Nothobranchius furzeri: one gene and its partners. The protein of the gene in region 1 purifies or fractionates together with the protein of each later gene. This does not show direct contact. Links are inferred from orthologs where the notes say so. Each region holds a gene or a part of one and is shown in the gene's direction. Other genes may lie near its edges.

Region 1 (7,996 bases):
TCTAGAAAACATTTATTTTTCTGTAAATTACAGATAATGGTCACCACTGTCATAACCCTCTTATTATTTTTTTTTCTTTTTTTTATTCCTGAACAGAAAGCAAGATCTGGAGAGCCATGAAAGAAGTGGAAATGAAGACAGCGGGGACATATCTGAGGAAGAGGAGGAGGAAGAGGTAGGGATGAACAAGAGCAAGACCTAAAAATCACCAGTGGTGGTAATTAAGATCTTAACCATTCACTCTGATTCACTTGAGTGTTTACCGGTATCAATCAATCAGGGTTGTTTATTTGGTTATTTTAAAGTTAAGAATGGGAGAAAAAAAACATGAAACATATCTGACACATTAGTGTTTCTTATGTGGGTGGATGTTGTTTGGTGATTTGGGTGTTTTACGGTTTGAACCCATTTTTCTTCTAAGAAGTGTCGTCCTTGTTCCTTGGAGGAACGATAACATAAAAAAATGTAAAAATCCAGTATTACACAGTAATTAACTAATTTTATTATGAACACAGTAACTAAAACATTCTTTACTCTACTGATTTAAATTTACTTATAAATAATTCAGAATGACATCTAAAATATTCTTTTTTTTTTGTTCCAGGAGGAAGCTGTAAATACTGAGAAGGTCGATGAAGGGTCCAAACATCACAGCGGTAGTGGTAAACGCAAGAGGAAAAAACACAAGCATCGCAGCAAGCACAAAAAACACAAACATGTATCTGATGAAGACAAGGACCGTAAGCGAAAGCATCGTCATAAACACAGGAAACACAAACGCAAAGAGGACACCTCCCCGTCTGCTGCCGCCCTCTTTGGTTCCTCCACCCACAAGAAGGTGGAGTCGTCTCCCTCTTCTGGGAATCCCAGTCTGGATGACAGGGCCGTGCTGGAGGACCTGGAGAAACAGAGGGCCATGATTAAAGCTGAACTGGACAGTCAGCTGATGGAGGGCAAGGTTCAGTCTGGCATGGGTTTGATTCTTCAGGGCTACAACTCTGGGTCTGAAGAGGATGGAGACGCCAGGTTCAGGAATGGAGAGCAGCGTCTGAGGGGCAGCTCAGGTAAACCCATCTCTCCAAGAGGGGGGAAAAGTGGGAAATCGAGGCGAGACTCAACAGAGGTCAGTAAGTCCAGCTCCAAGCGTCGTAGCAAGTCTGCAGAGAAACCCGCCAAGGAGTCTAAGCAGGACAAAGGGACCAAAAGCAGTAAGGACGCGGGCGTTAAGGACAGAGGGCGTGGCAGGAGCAGGTCTAAGGACAAAAAACGCTCGGGCAGCACTGATCGGCCCAAGGAGAGACGGAAGTCTAGTTCTCCTTCCAACTTAAAGAACGAGAAGAAAGCCGATCGTGTTGATAAGCGTTCCTCTCCACAGCGAGATGACAGGCCAAACCAGGACAGAGCAAGTCGACGGTCCAGGTCACCAGTACGAGAACGGCCAAGCCGCTCAGATGCAGATCGGGACAAACGGGTCGCCAAGTCTCCGTCTAAGGACGCCTCGCTGGGGAAAGAGAACCGCTCCCCTCACAGACGAGGGCCTCACAGCCCTCCACGGAAACGCAGTGCTTCTCCTCGTCACCGAGACAGTCGCCATGTGTCGACTGGCGCCTCCGAGCGGACGTCAAAACAGAACCACTCTCCGTCCAGAACCAAGTCTCCCCCCAGAAGGGGCCGCAGCCGCTCACCGGACCTCAGGAGGAGGGAGTCAGACAGGCAGGACTCACCCCTCAGGTTCGTCACTCGCTGCTTCATCGTTAGGTGGTTATCTGTTTACCCACAAAGCATTTGTGTTCGGTTTAATGCCTAGGGTCAGAATACTGCTTCGTGGGACCAATCTGTGTTGAAACGAGTCGTTAAAATACAAATTAAAAAGTGAGGAAGACACAAAATAAATATTCTGACGACATTGGATGAAAGAGTTCTCCTCTGATCCTGCAGGAAGCGGCCTCGACCTGACGCTGGGCCCGCCAGAGACCGGTCTCGGGAAAGGAGTCCTAGGCCCGCCATTCGCCGCCGTGTCAGTCGCTCCCCTCTGAGGAGGAGGTCCCCATCACCACGGCGACGCTCCCGCTCCTCCCCCCGCAGACGAAGCCGGTCTCTGCTCAGACACAGGTGATGGTGACGCTGTTATGTGGCTTTAGACTGGAACTGATGACATAATCTTTAGTGTTCTGATGAGATTATTCATCCGCGTTGAAATGAACGACTTACAGATCAGGAGAGAGAGACCGGTACGGTCGGCTCCGCCAGTACCGACGCTCCACGTCTCGTGACCGGGAGAGGAGGAGGAGGCGCAGCAGAGATGAAGATAAGTTTAAGGGCAGCCTGTCGGAAGGGATGAAGGTGGACCAGGAGTCCTCAGAAGAAGACGTGTGCGTAAAAAGCGATCAAATCAGATATTTTATCACTTATAAAAGCTGTGTGAATGTTTTCATCCAGACCAGATATCATTTCTCTTCCGTGACTTTGGCTCTTTTCAGGTTGGAGGACTTTGAAGGTGAGGAGATAGATGAAGAAGCCCTCATCGAGCAGCGGCGCCAGCAGCGCATGGCTATCGTCCAGGTCTGGTCTCCATCTTGGTTACAACCACAGATAAAGATGGAGTCCCCTCTCTGAACCTTTCCTCCCTAACCCAGAAATACAAGGTCCTGAACGAAGACACCAACATGGTGTCGGAGCCCAGCAGCCCTCAGAGCAGCACGCGGAGCCGCTCTCCTTCGCCCGACGACATCCTGGAGCGAGTGGCCGCAGATGTGAAGGAGTATGAACGCGAGAACGTCAACACCTTCGAGGCTAGCATCAAAGCCAAGCACAACCTCATCGCCCAGGAGAAAGACGGTAACGTCCCCGTTAAATAACGAGTCCTGTTGGCATACAAGGCCAACTGAATGAACCGCGCCGTCACCTGTAAGCGAGCAAGGACGCAGCTACAAACGGTTCTGTTTATAGACCGTGACACGAGTCACCACAGCTGCCGCTGATGAGCACGTGCATCTGTGTTCAGCTCAAAGCTCCAGATGGGCTCCTCTCCTTTTATCAACCACAAATTTTACCTTCAATCTGAAAATTTCCAGATTATTTTTTCCGGCCACCAGAGCAGATCAAGTTTCATCCGATCGCTGAATGAACAATAAATGAGTTCATTTCCCTGCAGCCTGTGACACCAGAGCGGCGTTGAAGTAGAGGACTGTGTGAGAAATGCACTTTTGTCATGCAGGGGTTATAATTTTGTTTTTTCTTCTGTCATGTGTTCATTCAGTTGCTGGCTTGTATTCCAAAGCCTGGTTGTGTCTGCCTCCTGCAGCATGTTTTGATCTCTGCACAGTATGTGAATCAAACACATGTTCCAGATTTACTGTTCTAGGATGACGTGTGTGAGCCCCGGATCTCATCCTGTCTCTCTGGTTGCTGTTTGTTGTTTTTTTCCAGGAGCCAACCCAAAGAAGCCCTCGGCCCCCGACATGTTTACGGAGTCAGACGACATGTTTGCTGCTCATTTTGATGTAAGTAAGGACCCGTGTGGCATCCTGGTGCTATTTTGTTCTATTATAATGTTAATTAACCCAAAAGGGTGCGATTGAAACACTGGACGATAAGGAACATGTCCTTTTTTTCTGTTGCCTCTGCAGAGTGCCAGGATGCGAGCAGCCGGCGTGGGAAAGGACTTCAAGGAGAACCCAAACCTCAGGGACAACTGGACCGATGCAGAAGGATACTACAGTAAATCCTCCCTGGTGGTTCCAGTGCTTTACATTCTACTCCCATAGTAACCCTGTGGTTTGTTTGTGTTGTTGTTCAGGAGTAAACATCGGCGAGACTTTAGATAAGCGCTACGACGTGTACGGCTACACGGGGCAGGGTGTGTTCAGTAACGTGATCCGAGCCAGAGACACGGCCAGAGCCGGCCAGGAGGTGGCAGTCAAGATCATCCGAAACAACGAGCTCATGTGGGTCCAGCCATCCACACGGCCTGTATAAATGTTTGTCAGATCTTGTTAATTCTCTAACGCTCATGTTTGTGGTAAACAGGCAGAAGACGGGATTGAAGGAGTTAGAATTTCTCCGGAAGCTAAACGATGCCGATCCTGACGATAAGTTCCACTGCCTTCGCCTCTTCCGACACTTCTACCACAAGCAGCATCTCTGTCTGGTGTTTGAGCCGCTCAGGTACCCAGGAGAAACCGTCTTTGTTTACATCTCTCACCGCAGCTTTTATCTGATGACCACCTGCCCGTCTCACCCGTAGTATGAATCTGCGAGAGGTGCTGAAGAAGTACGGTAAAGACGTTGGACTCCACATCAAAGCTGTGCGTTCCTACAGCCAGCAGCTCTTCTTGGCGCTCAAGCTGCTGAAGCGATGCAACATCCTCCACGCTGACATCAAGCCAGACAACATCCTGGTGCGGTCTAACACAAGTCAACCTTCCAGAGTGCTCAGAACAACAGCCGCGTGTGTTTAACATCATTATGTTTGGTCCTCTTTCAAGGTGAACGAGTCTAAAACCATTCTGAAGCTTTGTGACTTTGGCTCAGCCTCACATGTGGCTGATAATGACATCACACCGTATCTTGTCAGTAGATTTTACAGAGCTCCAGAAATCAGTAAGTTTAAATTTTCTCCTTTTGTTCGGTTTCTGTTTCGCCTGAGCTTCACTCCGAGCGTGTTTCCCTCAGTCATAGGAAAGCTTTACGACTACGGGATCGACATGTGGTCGGTGGGGTGCACGTTGTATGAGCTGTACACCGGGAAGATCCTGCTCCCCGGATCTTCCAACAATCACATGCTGAAGCTGGCGATGGACCTGAAGGGCAAGATGCCCAACAAGGTAAGCTCGCATCATTTCACATCGTGTTTGCTGTTCAGCGCGTGATGCAACTTCCTGTCGTGTTTCTTCAGATGATTCGTAAAGGTTTGTTCAAAGACCAGCACTTCGACCAGAACTTGAATTTCCTCTACATTGAAGTAGACAAAGTGACTGAAAGGGTGAGAAGGTCTTCTAAATTCTGTTTCCCTGATATTAAAGTGATTTTTTATTAACTTTGACTTTTTTTTTTTTTTTTTGGTTCACCAGGAAAAGGTGACGGTAATGAGCACCATCAACCCCACCAAAGACCTGCTGTCTGAACTCATCGGCGGCCAGCGGCTGCCCGAGGACCAGAGGAAGAAGGTGATGCAGCTGAAGGACCTGCTGGAGGGCACGCTGATGCTGGACCCGGCTAAACGCATCAGCATAAACCAGGCTCTGCAGCACCCCTTTATACAGGAGAAGATCTGAGACCCTCCCAGAGCGGACAGGACAGCAGCGACCACTAAACCAGCTCTGGAGCGAAGCAGCAAACCTCTGAACTCTTGTTTCAGAATCTCACCCAGTTTTGTTCTTTCAGCAGGACTCTAATGGATTCTTTATTGTGTTTTATTGTAAATAGATCATTGAGATAGTAGCCATTCTGAGTTACACGCTTTGATTTTGTTTTTCATTGTATACTTCCCCTCATACCATCAAATGCAGTTACTTTTTAATTTAAATGGCACTGGAGTGATTAAAAGAAACTATGATTCCTGTAAATACTGACGAGTCTGTTGCATCAACTAAATCAAGCAGCAGACGAGGAAAGGTCAGAGTGCAGCATTTTTTTCTGACCACATTGCTCATAGTGGGATGATGCATGCTTTTGAATGTGGTGCAGCCCTGTGTTGAAGCTCCATAACTGCAGTCACAACCTGATCTGAAAGAAAAACGTGCATTTCTGATTAAGATTTTTAAAACTGGTAGAATTATTGTTTTTTTTTTTTTTTTCATTTTTTAACCCCTCGTCCAATTCTCTGGCTCTAAAGGCTCTCAGATTTAAGTGCCTCCTGTTTGAGCTTGGTGTGTTAAACACCAAACGATGCCACACCCGTGACTCTCCTCTAATGTTGTGTACATACAGTCTAAAGTCGCTTTCCTTCACGTATGTTTTTTTTTCTTTACATGATGTGGTAAAACCAATCTTGTGGATTACAATAAACAATAGTTGTGGAAACGCTACTGAAAGAGCACCTTCAGTATAAAACAGCTTTTTAGTAATAAATTGTTTCCTACTGTAAACAAACAGCTGTTTGCTTGTTTTTCTTTCAGACCTCATAATGAACAATATTCCCTGATCGGTCTTATTGAATAAAACACAGAGAAAGAAAAGCTTTTTAATGATTCCTAATGCCGAAATTCTAAGAATCATAATTTAATAGAGAACAGAATGTGTAAACTACATCAAGTTTGCAGAAGACAGATCAAAATAAATTGCCTCTGGTAGTAGTAGGCTTTATTTTGCAACATGGATGTTTTATCCCCACAAATAACAACCCTGGAGGAGTTCTGCTGTGTGGTGGAGTTGCTAATGCTAATGGTTAGCTTCTACTAGTCGAAATGTTATCTGCTTTTTCCTGGATGCTTAACCAACAACAGCCTTCCATCGTTGAGTCAAGATGGGTGAGTCCATGAGTGTTCACACAGTCATGCTGTCAGGCTTTTCAAGTCAGAGTGTCACCGTCTATTTTCTGTCAGAAGCTAATGCAGCAGATAGGTGTAGGAGACTATTTTCATGTTCAGCCTGTATGAAAATTGATTATAATCAGAAATAATCATTTAAAATGCTTTGATGCACACATTAAGGTCAATTGAAGTTTGGGTGAAAACTCTCAGTGCTCTGGGACCAGAAGAAGACAATGACAAAGTCCAATAGCAGTAAGGGACACGGTGGTGAAAGGAGATAAAAATGTCGACATTTTGAAGTATTTGCATTTACTGAAAATGTTGCAGGGGTAAGAAGAGTTTGCAAAAGTTGAAACAATCAGCTGCGAACGTTCTGATCAAAACCCATCAAATTCAAACTGACGGTATAAGTGAAAAATACCAGTTCGTGTCATGTAGAGGCCCACAACTTTGATCAATATTTTCCATTATGAAATGAAAAGAGCTCCAAAAGGGGGCGGGGTTTACCCCCCTGTTTCACCAAAATCCTATAGATTTCAATGGGTAAGTTTCATCATAAGAAGTAGTTACCAAATGTTACAGTTTGTGTGAAAACAGAAAAATCAGACTTCCGCTTCAATAAGTGCATAAAGATGAAAACATGTTTGATGAGGGTTCGTACTCACAGTAAAAAGGATCAAGGCTGCAAGAACTTTGCAGCATCAAAAGTGAAATCTCCATTTTCACTATTTCCCACTCTGGTGCTTCGCTCCATTACATGATTGCACTTGTGTTGAGCTCCTGAAAAGCATAATGGGAGTCTCGTTTAGAAAAAAACTCCTATTTTTCTCCCATTTGAAAGCAGAAGAGTGATGCAAGAGCTCCCTGTGCTTGAGTGGAGCAGAGTTTGGTAATAAGGCTTCTGATCGGAGCTGATGGGCTGTCAACCTCAAGGGGTTTGTAAAGACATGTAGGCTGTAGTGGGATAACCACCGGTGAAGGTGTCAGTGAGAATCATCTGGCACGCTAAAGCATGCTGGCTTTAATCTCAACATGAAGAGATGAGGACATGGCTGCCTTTAATCTGAATATGTAACCAAACAAGTCATTTATGGCCTTCAGATTCATGAGAGCAAGAGGTCAGGCTGGTGCTCTGCTACCAGCTGGGGGTATCACCGTAAAATGATCACTAGAGGGCGATAGAGGCATCTAAAAACTTTATCTGTGCGTTAGAAATATTCAAACCCCGAACCAGTGTCAAGGTATTTACTTTTACATTTAATTAAGGATTTCATATCACATTTGCAACAGATTTGATATGTTAGTGAGTTAAATGTATTGGTAACATTTTACAAAGAGTCCCCCTTTATTCGTGTTACTTAGTGCATTATTAAGCATTAATAAACAAAGGTTCCCTTTATTAACGTTCCTGGTATTGTTAACAATTAAGTGTCTTTAAGGTTAGGACAAGAGGCCAAAAGAGGTGTCTGCTAAGTAATACATTACTTAATATGGTTGAGCAGTTGTTAATACTAGGTAATTAA
Region 2 (7,585 bases), on another chromosome or scaffold:
ATCGAGCCCAGAGCACTTCCTTTCTGAAAGCACCGTAAAGCCTTCACACTAACGGGTCTTTGTGAAACACGTCAAATCATGATGACCCAATCAGACCTCAGATCAGATTCTGTCGTGGCGTCATTTTTCCCATTGGCCTGTTTTCACTCTGCTTCCTCTTTTCCACAGTTCTCCTTTGACACAACAGGCGTACTATTTGTGTCACAAAGTCTGCTGCTTCACAAACTTCTGTTATTAATGATGGTGAGGAACCCAGTCAGAGCGTTGCTGCAGAACCCGATCAGAGCACCAGTACAGAACCTGGTCAGAGCGCCGCTGCAGAACCTGATCAGGCCACCGATACAGAACCTGGTCAGAGCGCCAGTGCAGAACTCAGTCAGAGCACTGCTGCAGAACCCGATCAGAGCACCAGTACAGAACCTGGTCAGATCGCCGCTGCAGACCAGAACCCTGCCAGAGCGCCGCTGCAGAACCCGATCGGAGCACCAGTACAGAACCTGGTCAGAGTGCTGCTGCAGAACCTGATCAGACCACCGATACAGAACCTGGTCAGAGCGCCAGTGCAGAACTCAGTCAGAGCACTGCTGCAGAACCCGATCAGAGCACCAATACAGAACCTAATCAGAGCACTGCTGCAGAACCCGATCAGAGCACCAGTACAGAACCTGGTCAGAGCGCTGCTGCAGAACCTGATCAGACCACCAATACAGAACCTAATCAGAGCACCAGTACAGAACCTGGTCAGAGCGCCGCTGCAGACCAGAACCCTGCCAGAGCGCCGCTGCAGAACCCGATCGGAGCACCAGTACAGAACCCAGTCAGAGCCCTGGTGCAGAACCCGGTCAGAGCACCGGTGCAGAACCCGGTCAGGACACTGGTGCAGAACCCGGTCAGGACACCGGTGCACGGTGCAGAACCCGGTCAGGACACCGGTGCAGAACCTGGTCAGAACACTGGTGCAGAACCTGGTCAGAGCACCAGTGCAGAACTCAGTCAGAGCACTGCTGCAGAACCCGATCAGAGCACCAGTGCAGAACCTGGTCAGAGCGCTGCTGCAGAACCCGGTCAGAGCACTGCTGCAGAGCAGAAACTGGTCAGAGCACTAGTACAGAACCCGGTCAGAGCGCTGCTGCAGAGTGAACCCGGTCAGAGCACCGCTGCAGAACCCGGTCAGAGCACTGGTGCAGAACCCGGTCAGAACACCAGTGCAGAACCCGGTCAGAACACCAGTGCAGAACCTGGTCAGAGCACCGCTGCAGAACCCGGTCAGAGCACTGCTGCGGAACCCGATCAGAGCACCAGTGCAGAACCTGGTCAGAGCGCTGCTGCAGACCAGAACCCAGTCAGAGCATCTGTGCAGAACCTGGTCAGAGCGCTGCTGCAGACCAGTTTTTATGCAAACATTTTTAGTTTTATTAGAAAGTTAAAGATTGTATGAAGATTTCCGGTTTTCTGCTTGCCTATGGACAAGTTTGGGTTGATCCTCCGGTCTCATGCAGCTCTCTCACCTGGAGTATGCTTTTATTCCGTCTCTTCTCAGGAAACTGTACCTGGGGTATGAACTGCAGGTTCATCCATCCCGGAGTCAACGACAAAGGAAACTATTCTCTCATCACTAAGCCGGACCCTTTTTCACCCAATGGAGCGCCCCCTGGTGGACCGCACCCTCTCCTCCCCAACAACCCCTGGGTGAGTCTTGCTGGAGTGACTCATCATGAATGTCATCTGTAATATCAACAAGGGGCTGGGTTCCCTTGTTTATCTGAAACCTGAAAACCATAAATGTCTGTTTCCGTGTCGTAGACGGCCCCCGCGGTGGAGGAACTCCCTCCACCTCCTCCCCCTGTGGAACCTCCTGTGGAGAGCGCCTGGGAACGAGGGCTGAGGCACGCTAAAGAGGTGAACTCTCTCTCTGTTCTCCATGCAAATCAAACTGGGACGACGCTCTCCCAGTTTGATTAAACTGCTGTTAAAATGTTTATTCAGTCACGCATTCACACCAGATGGAAATAGGCCTGGAAACGCTGCATTTGCAAGTTTATTGTGCCGTCACCTTTTCCGTTCAGCTGTCCAGGACATGTTCCCTACCCCGGTTAGCTGATGTTTGTTTATGAAAACCTTTTTATCGACATCTAAAAACTCTCGTGTTTTATGAGACAAATGAGAAGCATTAATTCTGCAGCTGCCTGTTCTTTAGTTACTAAAGCTGGCACAGTGACTCCATGTTTATAACGGTTGTGCCTCATTTATGAAGCTTTTAGATCTTTAATGTTACTGTGCCTCACCAGGCTTTTATTTGTTTAAAAAAATTCTCATTTCATTTGCAATCAGTTTCCCAACCCCTCCCAAAGATGTCTCATTTCCCCACTCACAGAAGCTAAACTGAACGAGCCTGATGAGCAGAACTCACAGATTTCCCCTGTGACCTTCATCAAGCTTGGTTTATGCTTGACGCATTCACTTTCCGCTTGGTGATGCGGCTCGCGGCTGGAACGCGCTTCACAACTCGCAGCGTTTATGGTTCATGCGGCCGGCTTGTCTCTGCGGTGAGCCAATATTCTCCCAAACTGTAGGGGGCAGCATGGAGCTCTACGGCATGCATCCAACACTACACCATAGTAGAAGTAGAAATTACTGTTTACAACATGGCATTCCAGCATTTTTAACAGCGTCCTCGTCTTTTCCGACAGCGCGAGCTATTTCTCTCCAGGAATTATTAACAACATGTTGATCACGGTGATCTCTGAGAGCTGAAGCATACAAATGTCTGTATTTACGAACCTCTGCCATACTAGTTCTTGCCGGTCCGCCATGTTTTTCCGCGTCCGACCGTCCGCGTGGTTAGAAAATTTCCTAGGTGCGCGTTGCGGAAATTTTGGGCCGTGCGGAGGCGTGGTTGTTAAGATGACGCAAAATGACGCAACTTTTCCGCGCGGACATCGCGAATGCGTAGCATAAACCATCCTTTATTATCATCAAACCACTTGTAGATCCTTGTAAAGCCGGGCGTACACTGTGCGACTTTTTCACTTTTTTGAGCCGATTTTCCACTCGTGCGAGAATCCACGAGATCTGGGCGAGTTTTGCGCTGAGCGTCGTGTAGTGTACAGGGGGTTACGAGAGGCGATTAACACCACTTGACCAGCTACCGATCAGCAATCGTGAGCTTGCACGGACTTCTGGCGTGTTTGATGTTTTGCTCGTCCCTCGTGAGGGTATCGCACTGTTGAAGCAGTGCTGTGAGCAGCTGCGACCCAAAAAGTACCAGAACCGCTCACGGCGCATGCGTAATCATGCTTCATCACCGCTCGCCCGCTATTTCCCTAATAACACACGTTGTTCGTTTTTATTTCTAAATGTTTTTTTACTCACAAAGATTGTCAAGAAAGCGTGTTTGTCGTGTTCGTGTCAAATTAAACTGATCACAAAACACAGATTTATTTTATTTTTTTGTTTTCCTCATCCAACCCCCATAAATCCCTGTGTGTCCTCCTGCAGCACTCCCGAAGGACAACAGGCAAGACAAAAAAGTCTCACGTGTTGTGTAAATACGGCTATTTTTAGCATATTTTTAGGTCCGACGTGTTGCTACCAGACGTAGAGTGTGAGCAGTCAGGTCGCATCCGAGAACTGGGTCGTACAGTGTGAGCGCATGACTCGTGAGATCTGCCCTGCCAGGAAGTCGTACAGTTTGAGCTGAAGCTGAGTGCTACGAGTGAAAAAGTCGCACAGTGTCCGCCCAGCTTAAAAAGACTCATCTGTGTTTAAGACTGTTTCGTTTCTGTTGCTGTCAGATGCTGAAGAAGGCGACCATCCGAAAGGAGCAGGAGCCAGACTTTGAGGAGAAACGGTTTAATGTGACGATTGGAGAGGACGAGCGAGAGTTTGACAAAGAGAACGAGTTCTTCAGAGAGCGAAGCTACCGCATCATCAGAGAGTAAGACCCGTTTACCATCACAATATTTACTCCGTCTGGGTCGGAATCCATTTGTAATGTGATTACTTGACATTTGGACTAGGGATGCAACGATACCACTTTTTTTCCAAACCGATACAATACCGATACTTGGATCTGAATGCTTGCCGATACCGATTACTGATACCTATACTTCTACCACACAAAAAAATGCAATGATTTGGAATACAGATTTTATTTTCTTCTCTGCTTTCAACAGGAAAAGACTGTGAGGTGGATAAAAAGTAAAATATATTAATAGAAATCATCACAAAACTAAAATATTAGGTGAACAAAAATGACAAATTACAGTGAAGCCATTTTCAAGCAAGCTGCATTGGTATTGGTTCCTGGTATCGGTTAACTTTTACCGATACCGATACCAGTATCGTATTGGTATCTGCACAGATACCGATACCAGTATCGGTATCTGTGCATCCCTAATTTGGACCAGCCTGGAATATTTCTGTTTTGGTCGTGGTTCTGAGTCGGCTTCGTAAAAAGTGGGCACGGGTCATGTTTCCCTTAGAGAAAAAACACTTTTCCTAATTAATAATAAATACCAATACTTATTCAACTTATTTTGTTTTTCTCTTTCAGTGAAGTGGACTTCAGAGATCCTCTCTATGGGTATGAGTAAATATAACTTTAACCTGAGTTCTATAGACCATCTGTGTTATGGGATGTTCATTTTAGGGTTGGGTGATTTGTACGCTTTTTCCCACCAACAATCCTACGTCCTGTAAATGACGATGGCCGATTTATTTGTGCATGTGACTCTTTGAGCAACGTCATGATGCACGGACCGATATAGGAACACGGTAGAAGTACAAACACTGATTTTTTTTTGTTTATAGAAGCACAGCAAATATGTTTGCTGGAAGAGAAAGTCTGATTTTTCTTTTTGTTTAATTTTGTATTTGTAGTTTGGTAGTGACGTATTAACGGCTCGTGTTAAGCACAGTTCAAGTGTTAAAAAGAAGCCTCATCTTCGTTTCCCTGTGGTGCCCATCATAGTGGTATTTTATTTAAGCAAAGGTTTTTGTTTTGTTTTTTTGAGCAAAAGCTACTGGTTTGATGGCATCACTTTCGTGAAGCGCATTTGTAGTCCTGGACTTATTTTCACACAAAACCTAAAATGGCATTACCCCCTGTTTTGAAAATAAGCGTGTTCTTGGTATCAAAATGTGTCTTTAAGATTCACGGACATCATATGTGAAATCCATGGCACAAAACAAGCGGAATTAGAAAATAGTAGGGCTGCAGGATATTAGGAAAACCTGCGATATTCGATAACAGTGATTAATATTGCGGTGACGATATTACTTGCGATAAATAAAAACTTAACTCGGGAACAAAAATAATCAAAAACAAAGAAATAAAAAAATCATAAAAATGAGAAATGCAAAAGATGTGAGGAAAGGGGAAAAGAAATTGAACAAGAAAAGGCGATCAGTGGGTCCTGGGAAAAGCAGAATCAGCAGAAAGAGCTAAACAAAGCTAACTCAGGTGTTTGCTAACCATCAAAATGTAGTGCCGTCTGCCTCGGGGGCGGGCATCTAACCAATGAGAACCCACCCGATTGGCCAAATAGGTGAAGAGCTCTGTTTGATTTGTTTAAAAAAAATCATGCTCCCGTTTGATTGACAGAATGCATTACGTGTAGCAAACATTTGAGCTGGCCATTCATTGCGATAGTTATCTGTTCTTTGCGATATGCATATTGTGCATGCTGATATCGCGATAATGATATATTCACGATATATTGTGCAACCCTAGAAAATAGCGTTTTTTACCCTGTTGGCTTGCATTCATTTTTTCGTTCTTCCGGGGACCAGTGATGCGGAAGTTACTTAGGCTACCTATAAGGTCGTGGTTCTGGAAGGATCCAATAAAAATGGGATTTTTGCTTTAGTTTTTTCAATAATTTAAATATTTTTAAAGTTTTGATGTTTAGTTTTTGTTTTGGTCATGAAAACAAATGTAACTTTTCTTTATTTTAGAGTCGTTCTGAACCATGTTTCTCCTCTCTAGTGACGCCTACGCTGACCCGTACTACGACTATGAAATGGAGGCCTTGTGGCGGGGGGGTCAGTATGAGAACTTCCGGGTTCAGTACACAGAAGCTCCTCTTCCCTACCACTTCGCTGTGAGTTTCCCGAATAAAAGCCGAAGCCGCCCAACTCATAAATAAATCCTCATATTGTTTTTATTTGTCATTTCACGTGATAAAATGACATTTTCTGTTTCATGTGTCTTAATTGCTGTCTGCGGAAAACTCAGCATCCCTTTTTTTGTAGTTAATGTTGTGAAAAAATATTGTTTGAAATAAATCATGTGTAGCAGCAGGAGGCGTGTCAGATATCATCTACGTAGAAAGCGACTTCCAGCTGTAAACTTTAAACAGATTTGAGGCAAAAATGTCTTTTTTCGTCATTTTTCACTGTTGACTTAATCTGCAGGAGCGAGAACGTGAGCTTCGAGAGCGCCATCGAGATCGCGAGCGAGAACGAGATCACCGTGAGAGGGAGCGGCGGCAGCGTGAGAGGGAGAGAGAACGGGAGCGTGACAAGGAGAGGCTGAAACGGAAAGAAGAGTGGGAGAGGGATCGGCTGAAGCGGGACGAGAAGGAGAGGCCAAGAATCCGTCCTCCTCGAGAAGCCAGGGAGAAGAAGGAAGAGGAAAAGCTGAAACCACGTTCACCCCCCAACCTTCCTCCAAAGTGAGTTACTGTTCCCCAGAGCGATCCTTCGTCACGATTCAGTTCATCACTACAGATGTTTGATTCCACAATAGTGTTGTCACGGTGTGAAAATTTAACCTCACGGTTATTGTGACCAAAATTATCACGGTTTTCGGTATTATCGCTGTATTTTTTTTAAACGTGTTACATTTTCAGACAACTAAATAAACCCTGTATATCAGGGAATGTCCTCAGTTTGTGTCTAAATTTTGCCTAAAATTTGTTATTTTATAATTATGTTGTTTATTTGTTTACATTTTCCCCTTTAGTTTTTAAAATACCAATATTTGCCCATAACTTCTTATTTGTTGTCTGTTTGATGTCATCGTTTTAAAAAATATTAGATCAGATGATACTCAGTACTCAAGTAGCCTTCTAATCAGATACTTTTTTTTTACCCTTACTTGAGTAATAATCCCTATAGAGCTCCGGACCCCACGTGACTCTCAGTTAGTAGACACCATATTGGCAGGCAAAAAAGGTAAACAAACACGGATCGTAAACATGAACATGAACGGGATCAGCTTGGATTTTACTTCGTCTGAGTTTACTTCACACTTTAAAACCGAAGAAATCATTTTATATAGTCAGAAATTAAATAGACTAAACATCTCCGACCCTTACCGTGCCCCTGGGATACTTTTTAAAAACGCCAGAAGCTGTCGGAGCGGACTTCTTACCGGACCTGGCCGGGGAACCCCCTGGGATTTCCCCGGAGGAGCTGGCCCAAGTGGCTGGGGAGAGGGAAGTCTCGACGCTACTGCCACCGTAACCCGACTCCGAATAAGCAGATGAAAATGGATGGACAAATAACAGATTTACATGTAAGTAGTTTAAATAGAGTGCTGTGCTGTTTGAATGTATAAACTGAACGCCAAGAGAAATCA
Region 3 (7,743 bases), on another chromosome or scaffold:
ATAAATAAATTCACCAGTTTGTGTGGAAAGTTCCTGCAAGATTGCCACATTTGGATCAGAGTGACCACGGTTTGTTTTTTGTATTTTACTACACATCTGTTTTACTGTGTTTTCTTTATGCTATGTTCAGCACCTTGGGTCTGCTTGATTGGGGGTAGGAAAGGGCTTTATAAATAAACTTGAAAGTCATCTGTTGCATGATTTTTTTTTTTAATGTAGCACAAGCATCACCTGCTGTTGTTGAAACCCTTTGACTTTTGGAGGCGTGCTGCTGATTTTGAAGCAGTCGGATGCTTTTTAAGTTCATTCAGATTGTTTTATTTTTGTGTTTGCAGGCTGGCAGGAGATCAGAGGGCCAGGAGAGACGCGCGTCACGACAGCGACGCCGAGGATGATGACGATGTCAAAAAAGTAGGGCTGGGTGTCTTATTCCTCTATTTATATGTGCAGAACTCCATTAATTAGTTTCATTTATTTATGAAAGCATAATTTGTTTGCCTTTTTCACAATTGTACGTCGTCTTTTAGCCGGCGTTGCAGTCGTCAGTTGTAGCTACCTCCAAGGAGCGAACACGCCGAGATCTCATCCAGGATCAGACTATGGATGAAAAGGGCAAACAGAGGTAGGCCAACACCGTTCTTCAGCTCTAGATTTGCACCCAGGCCTTTTAAACCCTTTTTATAGAATATTAATCTTTTAAGTAGATAACCATGTAAGGAAAATTTAGAGAAATTGAAACATCCTTCTCAGGAATCGGCGTATGTTTGGCCTGCTGATGGGAACGCTGCAGAAATTCAAGCAGGAATCAAACGAGTCTTCAGATAAGGTGAGGGTGCTCCTGAGGTGGCCGAGGTCAGCCTGGATCATGTTGTTTTGGAGGGTTGTTGGTTTTTTTCTTCTTCCTGCTTATCGCTGACATCATCTGTTCACGGTGCAGCTGAAGAGACGCTCCGAGATCGAGCAGAAGCTCGAGGTTCAAGCTGAGGCTGAGAAAAAGAAGGTGGAGAACGAAAAGAGAGAACTGTTTGAAGAGAGGAGAGCCAAGCAGACTGAGCTGAGACTGCTGGAACAGAAAGTGGAATTGGCTCAGCTGGTGAGAAAATATTTTGCGTGCGTTTCTCAGGGTTTTTCCTGCGTTCAAATTTGCGTGGCGGCCGCCTCCAGCTAATTTGGTGCCGCCCCAGCCTGATTTCACTCTGCCCCCAGCTATATGGATGTTATTTTAACTGCAGTTGCACCACTACAGGGGTGCTGTATCCGCAGCGGTGCACCGAAAAGCACTAAAACCGCTGCTGACAAAGATCAAAAATTGTTTTTCTCGCTAGTTGGTACAGATCTGTGGTTGGTGCTATTCACGTCCTGATTCCCCCCCAGGCTCTTCCATATCAGAGCAGGGCTGTACAGGGGTGTCTGTGCGTGTCTGTCTATTTTTAAACGTAGCACTGGTGCAACATCTTTGAATTTCTATTTTCCCCTGAAACTTTATTGAACAAAAGTTACGTGTAAGAAAAATGCTTTTTACTGGCGCACAGTGTGGAAATCTGGATGCAGGGGAGGAAAATAAAGGAACCAGCAAAGGCAGAACCGGTCCAAAGTTTGGGATCAAAAGTGCAGCTACACGCAGATTGGCTAACGCTAAAGCTAACGGGTAGCAGTCTCACGATCAAGTGGCGCACGGATAAATATATGATGATGTAAAACTAAGAGACTAAACTCTACAAGCGGATGAAAAGTCCCCACCATCCTGTTTATTCTGCATCCTGCAGCGCTACGGATCAGAACCGCTGTAGATACGAGTCACATTACTGCTACAAGCCTACGGCAGGCCGTTGTAGTATATAATTCAGAAACGCTTCTATCTTTGAACATAATTTAATCTGGATTATTGCCAAGTCCCGTACATAATAGACATGCCACCGTTACATTGTTAGCAGCAGAAATTAAATGTTATTACCATTTCCAGCACAGATGCATGTTAATGAAATGCATTGTATTTTAATGCATATATTTATGTGTTATTATGACTAAGATGAGTGTTATTAATACAAACCTAAAATGTTACTTAAATGTAGGTCAAATATTTAAAATTATTTTAACTGTAAATATCAGATGGGGAAAAGGAACTAAACACTAATTAATGCATATTATTGAGCCTTTCATAATAAGAGTGTTATTTCAGCCTGATCATTTTGTTTTATTTCATATTTTTTAGCAGCAAACCTGTTTTGTTTCACTTGAAACGTCAAACGGAATATTCTGTTAACAGAAGCTTAGATTAAAACACTTAACGAAAAAATATTTGGCCTTTAATAAAAGTGAGGCAGTTGAATGCAGAGTATGCATGTGTTGGTGCACGGTCAGGATGGTAGTCAGGAAAAGCCCTGTTTCTGCTCTCCAGCGCTCACATATTTAAAAAATGGTTAAAACTTAAAGCCAATACTGCACGATATTAGGTAAACCTGTGATATTCGGTAATGATTAATATTGCGATGACGATATTACTTGCGATAAATAAAAACTTAACTCGCGAACAAAAATAATCAAAAACAAAGAAATTTTTAAAAAATCATAAAAATTAGAAAAGTAAAAGATGAGGAAAGGGAAAAAGAAAATGAAGAAAAGACGGTGGATCCCGGGAAAAGCAGAAAGAGGCAAAGCTAACTCGGGTGTTTCCTAACCATCAACATGAAGTGCCGTCCGCCTCGGGGGCGGGCATCCGACCAATGAGAACCCACCTGATTGGCCAAATGGGTGAAGAGCTCTATTTGTGTTGTTAAAAAAAAAAACATAATGCTTTCATTTGATTGACAGAACGCATCATGTGTAGCAAACATTTGAGCTGACCGTTCATTGCGATATGTATATTGTGCATGCTGATATCGCGATAACGATATATTTACGATATATTGTGCAACCCTAATCAATACGGTGCTTTGGAAACATCTGGAACAACAGACGGTTTCTGGTGGTGTTAAATAAGTTTTCTTGTGTCTCAAACAGCAAGAGGAGTGGACCAGCCACAACAATCGCCTGCTGAAATACATCCGCACAAAGACCAAGCCTCACCTCTTCTTCCTGCCTGGGAAAATGTGCTCGGCCACTCAGAAACTCCTCGAGGAATCCACCAAGAAACTAAATGGTCAGCTGGGTTTGGTGTTTTTGCCAACTATTCCAAACGAGTCCCTGCCACTAACGCCTGAGCTTTTCTCTCCAATCAGCTGTTTTTGAGGAGAGGCGTGAGGCATTTGCCGAACACCTCAACAAGATGGAGTCACGCCCCCGGCGACAGCCGAACCGCGAGCAGGACGCCAACATTGCTACAAGGACGGAGCGCCCAGCGGAGGGTAAGCCAGCAGGTCAGGTAGACAAGCGGACAGGTAAAAGGGGTGAAAAGGGAATGGACGAAGATGAGGACGAAGAGGAAGAGGTAGAGGTAGAGAAGGATGAGAGTAAAAAGACAACAGAGGGAGAAGGAACTAGCAATGTAAATGAAGAAGAGAAAGAAGTTTTAAAGAAAATAGAAGAAGATGAGGAGGAAGAGATGGAGGTAAGTCAGGAGGGGAAAGAGGAGAAAAAGGGGGAGCAAAAGGGGGAGGAAGGGGATGAGGAGAAGGAAGAAAAGGAGACAAGTCCACAGTCAGAAGAGATGGAGGTGGAGGAAAAGGCAGAGAAAGATGTGGTTGAGGAGAAAGAGGTAGAAACAGTCAGTCAGCAGCGGCTCGCGGAGCTCCAAGATGAAAAGACTCCAGGTGTGCAGATATCTGAAACAGCTGAGAGCAGCCAGGAAGCACCAGACCGCAGCGATGGGCTTGCTGCAGGAGAACCAGCCGTTCAGTCCCGGGGCACAGAGGCGGCTTCTCCGGCCCAAGAACCACAGGTGGCCTCCACTCCTCCTGTCCAGAATCCCACCACTCCTGGGTCCAACGACCAGGAGCCCACCAACGAGAGCCAGACAGTCGAAAGAGAGTCGGGGGAGGAAGCCCCACAAAAGCTGCCAGATTCTCAGGAGGCCTCTGGAGCCCTTCCTGTTGTCACTCCTGTGAAGGAGGGTGAGAAGGACGGCAGAGGGAGGAAGAAGGAAAAGGAGCAGAAGAAACGCCGCAGTCAAAGCAACAGCTCCTCGTCCTCTTCTGGATCCTCCTCCAGTGGAAGTTCCTCTTCTTCTTCCTCAGGATCCAGCCACTCCTCATCGTCCTCGTCCTCTTCTTCCTCGTCATCAAGCAGCCGCAGCCGAGACGGCGGCAAGCGGAAGCGTCGGCCATCGGATAGAGGTAGAAATGCAAAGAAAGGAGATGAGAGAAGTCACCATAAAAAAGGCGGGAGTAGTGGAGGTGGGAGGGACGTGAAGGAGAGGAGGAAGAGGAGCGATGAGGGGAAGGGTAGGTCTTCCCGGAGTGATAGGGAGCATAAAGATGGAGACAGGAAGGCCAAGAGACACTGATTTAAGCTTCTGGAACAACAAAACTGCAGCTGAGACGGGAGATTACATTTTAATCACATTTCTTTTAAGTAAACGACTTTTCCTCTCGATGTTGGAAGTTTTGAATGAAGCGACTCGTTGGATGTAGTTGGTCAAAGCCAAGCGGATTTCCCTAATGAGCAGTGGGTGTTTTACGTTGTAATGTGGATTGTTGCTGCACCTAAAATGTGATTTCTAACGGGAGTCTCTAGTGAACGAGTCCGAGCTTGTTTTTAAATCCGGGTTTCTTTACTTTTGTTTTAAGTCTGATTGTCCAGCATTAAGAGTGTTGATGCATAGAAACGGTCGTCTGGTTAAAAATGGTTCGTGCTGATCAGCTGTTTACCAGTCTGGTTCATGTCTGATGTGATCTGTTCAAATGTTTTGATTTGACTTTTATTTTTTATCCTGTAATCTGCTTCAAATAAACTTGAGGTATTGGCATAAATGTGTTTCCTTGTTCTGGTTGGACTTTCGGTTTTAAAATGTTAAATTAGTCGACAGATTAAATTTAAAATGTATGTTTTCACCAGAGATGGGAATAACGGCGTTACTTAAAAGTAGTTTTTTTCAGTAACGAGTCATTAATTATCATCTTTTATCATAACGCTGTTTCCGTTACTGTTGAGAAAATGCGTGCGCTGCTGATTCAGCAGCGCGGCGGTGAAGCCGACATCAGCTGATTGAGATCTAAAGAGGTGGCTGTTTTCATCCAAGAGCATCATGGCTCGTGAAGAACGAGGAATGTGACAGCGGGACGTCCCGAAGGTCCGCTCACCTGCTCAGACGTCCTGATCTTCTACCTTCCTAGATCATCCAGCTGTAACCTGTTTCTGATCACGTCTTTAGTCCCGCTGTAACACTGATGCATCAGTCTGAGACGTCATGGAGCTCAGGTGTTATCAGAGCTACCTGTGTGTGTTTACCACCCAGCTTCAGCTCTTCTGTGGTTGGGTCTGACCCACGTTAGTAAATGTAAGTCCTCCATCAGGCTTGTGCCTCTTCTAGTGTCATTTTAAAGGATTTTTATTTAACCATTACTAATTAGCAGCAGCAGAAATGTTGCTAAAAATACGCAATTATGTTAAGCTGGAAAAATTAAAATACTGTGCAAAATTACATTTCTGTAATTTAACTAGACTGAGAGACCATGTAAAGGCTCAGGAACCTTTACAGGTGCTTCTATTTGCAATTATAAATGTTAGCTGATTAGGGTCTTGTTAAATATCGCAGTGATGTTTTAGTAGTCTGGATTAGTGTAATGTTCCTGTTTGTCGTTCCTCCTGTTAAGTGCTTAATTATTGTTTTATAGAAAACATTTTATGTTCCAGTCATTTATATTTCATTATTGTTGAAATTTATAGTAAATGAAGTTTAAGAGGGGAACCCATTTCTCTTGCATTCTTTAATGAAAAAAGGTAATGAAAGTTATTTTTGTTGGTAATTAGTTACTTTTATAATTTTTTAACTCAGTAAGTAACTTAGTTACTTTTTTGACAAAATAATTACTTTTTAAAAGTGACGTTCCCAACACAACACTGGTTTTCACTAGTTCCATGTTTCCTGCCATTCAGGATGCTTGTAAAACCACAAAAGCAAACCAAGAATAAGAATCATAAATTTAATCCACAAATACGAAGTTTCAGCTTTACAAAAATATCACACACACACTTCCTCATACGAGTCTTGCTGCCACGAGCCACATCCCCTGGTGGTTCGGCTTCGTGTTTACTCCGGCTGGTCTGCCAGATCACTCTGCTCAAAGTATCTGCAGGAAAAACGAGAGGTGGTGAGTCGCAGGATTTCAGGCTCTAACTTCAGCTGCATTGTTGATTTTATGGGTAATGTAGACATTATTGGAGTCACCTAGCAACCAGACAGATGAGTAGGTTGAGAGCAGGCAGATTCTCATTCTCCTGACAATCCTGTTGGAAGAATTTAATCATTACAGACGTCACAATAAAATACGCCGTCAGAATCCTGAAGGACACTCGGGTTTCCATCATACCAGAGTGCTGCGGAGCTGGGCGCACCGTCTAGCCAGCTGTCGGATGGAGGAGTGCGCTTCAGGCAGCAACGGTTTCTCTAAGCAGGCCAGTAAAGCGTACAACCAACAACCCTTTTGGGAAAAGCAGCGTTAGGAATTTCATAATCAGGAAAACCAGGAACCTCATTCATCAAACGTCGACAGAATCTCCTGTATTCCGTCCTAAGAATGATATTTGAAATGTTGGTTCACACGGACAATCTCCTGATTTATGAAGCACGGCCATACTCGTGTTCCCTGGCAACCCACTGTGGAGAAATCCCACGTGAATGGCCTGCAATTGACATAGCACCTTCTAGAGTTTTACAACCCCCCAAGGTGCTTTACAACACAACAGACATTCACTCGTGCACAGAAACATTCACACACTGATGGTGATGAGCTACATTGTAGCTACAGCTGCCCTGGGTCACACAGACAGAGGCAAGGCTGCCGTACGCTGGCGCCACTGGTGTCTCCATCACCACCCCACCCAGGTGCCCGTGTGTTCATTCACATACAGAAACGCCCTCAGTTAACCATATTTGGTCACAAGAACGAGCAACAAGTAACTTTAACGAGAGTGAGGACCAAACGTTGCTGTTAGGAACGCGTAGATAAGTAATACCTTCGGTTTTGTGATTTCTCGGTCCTGTTTGTACACAAGAACAGAGACGTTCTTGTACTTAGGAACATTTTTATGTCGCGTAGATAATCTACATACTAGAATTTAACGCGGTTTGCTATCAGCTTGGCTAAATGCTGAGAAAAATCAAACAAATTAGCAAATGAAACTTATGTATAAATATCCAGGATATTTATATAATCGATAGAAGTTCATACACCAACGGGCTTGGTCTATATTTAATCCAAAGATTAATATTTAATTTAAGAGATTTAAATTAATAGCAAAAGTTTATTTATTAAATCGGAATATTTAAAGGAATCTTTGCTCGTTCAATAACCAAATTTACACCATTCTGTGTTTCATTTCAAAGAAGAGTCAGGTTTAAAAAGTTAAGAATTTATAACGAACAATTTAAAGATGACAATTTATAACAGCTTTGATATTAAAACTTGGTATTAAAAGCAAACCTGTGTCTGGATGAAAGCTAAAATGAAATGCGTGTGTTGGATGTGTGACTGGAATCTCAGAAGGTTTCTTTCAGAGAGAAACGCGTTCTGGGTGAAAGAGTTTGTTTTGCAGCTAACTAAGTTGTTTCTTAGAGATGACAGCATCAGACGCAATCTGTGTTCT

Evidence for each region. Proteins that work in one complex are often made in the same cells at the same time.
Region 2: the proteins of prpf4bb (region 1) and zc3h18 purify together in Homo sapiens (co-immunoprecipitation; 4 studies listed by BioGRID and IntAct, counting the BioPlex papers as one, with this or other methods). This does not show direct contact. The link is inferred for Nothobranchius furzeri from reciprocal best matches to the Homo sapiens genes PRP4K and ZC3H18.
Region 3: the proteins of prpf4bb (region 1) and pnn purify together in Homo sapiens (affinity purification with mass spectrometry; 5 studies listed by BioGRID and IntAct, counting the BioPlex papers as one, with this or other methods). This does not show direct contact. The link is inferred for Nothobranchius furzeri from reciprocal best matches to the Homo sapiens genes PRP4K and PNN.

The regions. Positions count from the first base shown.
Region 1 is NC_091747.1:44,850,294-44,858,289, forward strand, and holds the end of prpf4bb (pre-mRNA processing factor 4Bb), read left to right. Parts: intron 1-96; coding exon 97-175; intron 176-604; coding exon 605-1,731; intron 1,732-1,938; coding exon 1,939-2,112; intron 2,113-2,213; coding exon 2,214-2,372; intron 2,373-2,480; coding exon 2,481-2,562; intron 2,563-2,636; coding exon 2,637-2,838; intron 2,839-3,429; coding exon 3,430-3,503; intron 3,504-3,629; coding exon 3,630-3,720; intron 3,721-3,799; coding exon 3,800-3,947; intron 3,948-4,029; coding exon 4,030-4,167; intron 4,168-4,246; coding exon 4,247-4,400; intron 4,401-4,487; coding exon 4,488-4,602; intron 4,603-4,674; coding exon 4,675-4,826; intron 4,827-4,897; coding exon 4,898-4,984; intron 4,985-5,072; coding exon 5,073-5,276; 3' UTR 5,277-5,496; downstream 5,497-7,996. UniProt on the Homo sapiens protein: Serine/threonine kinase involved in spliceosomal assembly as well as mitosis and signaling regulation. Connects chromatin mediated regulation of transcription and pre-mRNA splicing.
Region 2 is NC_091744.1:81,982,042-81,989,626, reverse strand, and holds part of zc3h18 (zinc finger CCCH domain-containing protein 18), read left to right. Parts: intron 1-1,540; coding exon 1,541-1,689; intron 1,690-1,803; coding exon 1,804-1,899; intron 1,900-3,794; coding exon 3,795-3,937; intron 3,938-4,555; coding exon 4,556-4,585; intron 4,586-5,989; coding exon 5,990-6,104; intron 6,105-6,417; coding exon 6,418-6,677; intron 6,678-7,585.
Region 3 is NC_091758.1:40,472,913-40,480,655, forward strand, and holds the end of pnn (pinin), read left to right. Parts: intron 1-335; coding exon 336-411; intron 412-527; coding exon 528-622; intron 623-750; coding exon 751-826; intron 827-937; coding exon 938-1,093; intron 1,094-3,000; coding exon 3,001-3,139; intron 3,140-3,218; coding exon 3,219-4,441; 3' UTR 4,442-4,762; downstream 4,763-7,743. Other genes in the region: gemin2 (gem-associated protein 2), read right to left, coding at 6,188-6,227, 6,326-6,384, 6,468-6,578. UniProt on the Homo sapiens protein: Transcriptional activator binding to the E-box 1 core sequence of the E-cadherin promoter gene; the core-binding sequence is 5'CAGGTG-3'. Capable of reversing CTBP1-mediated transcription repression.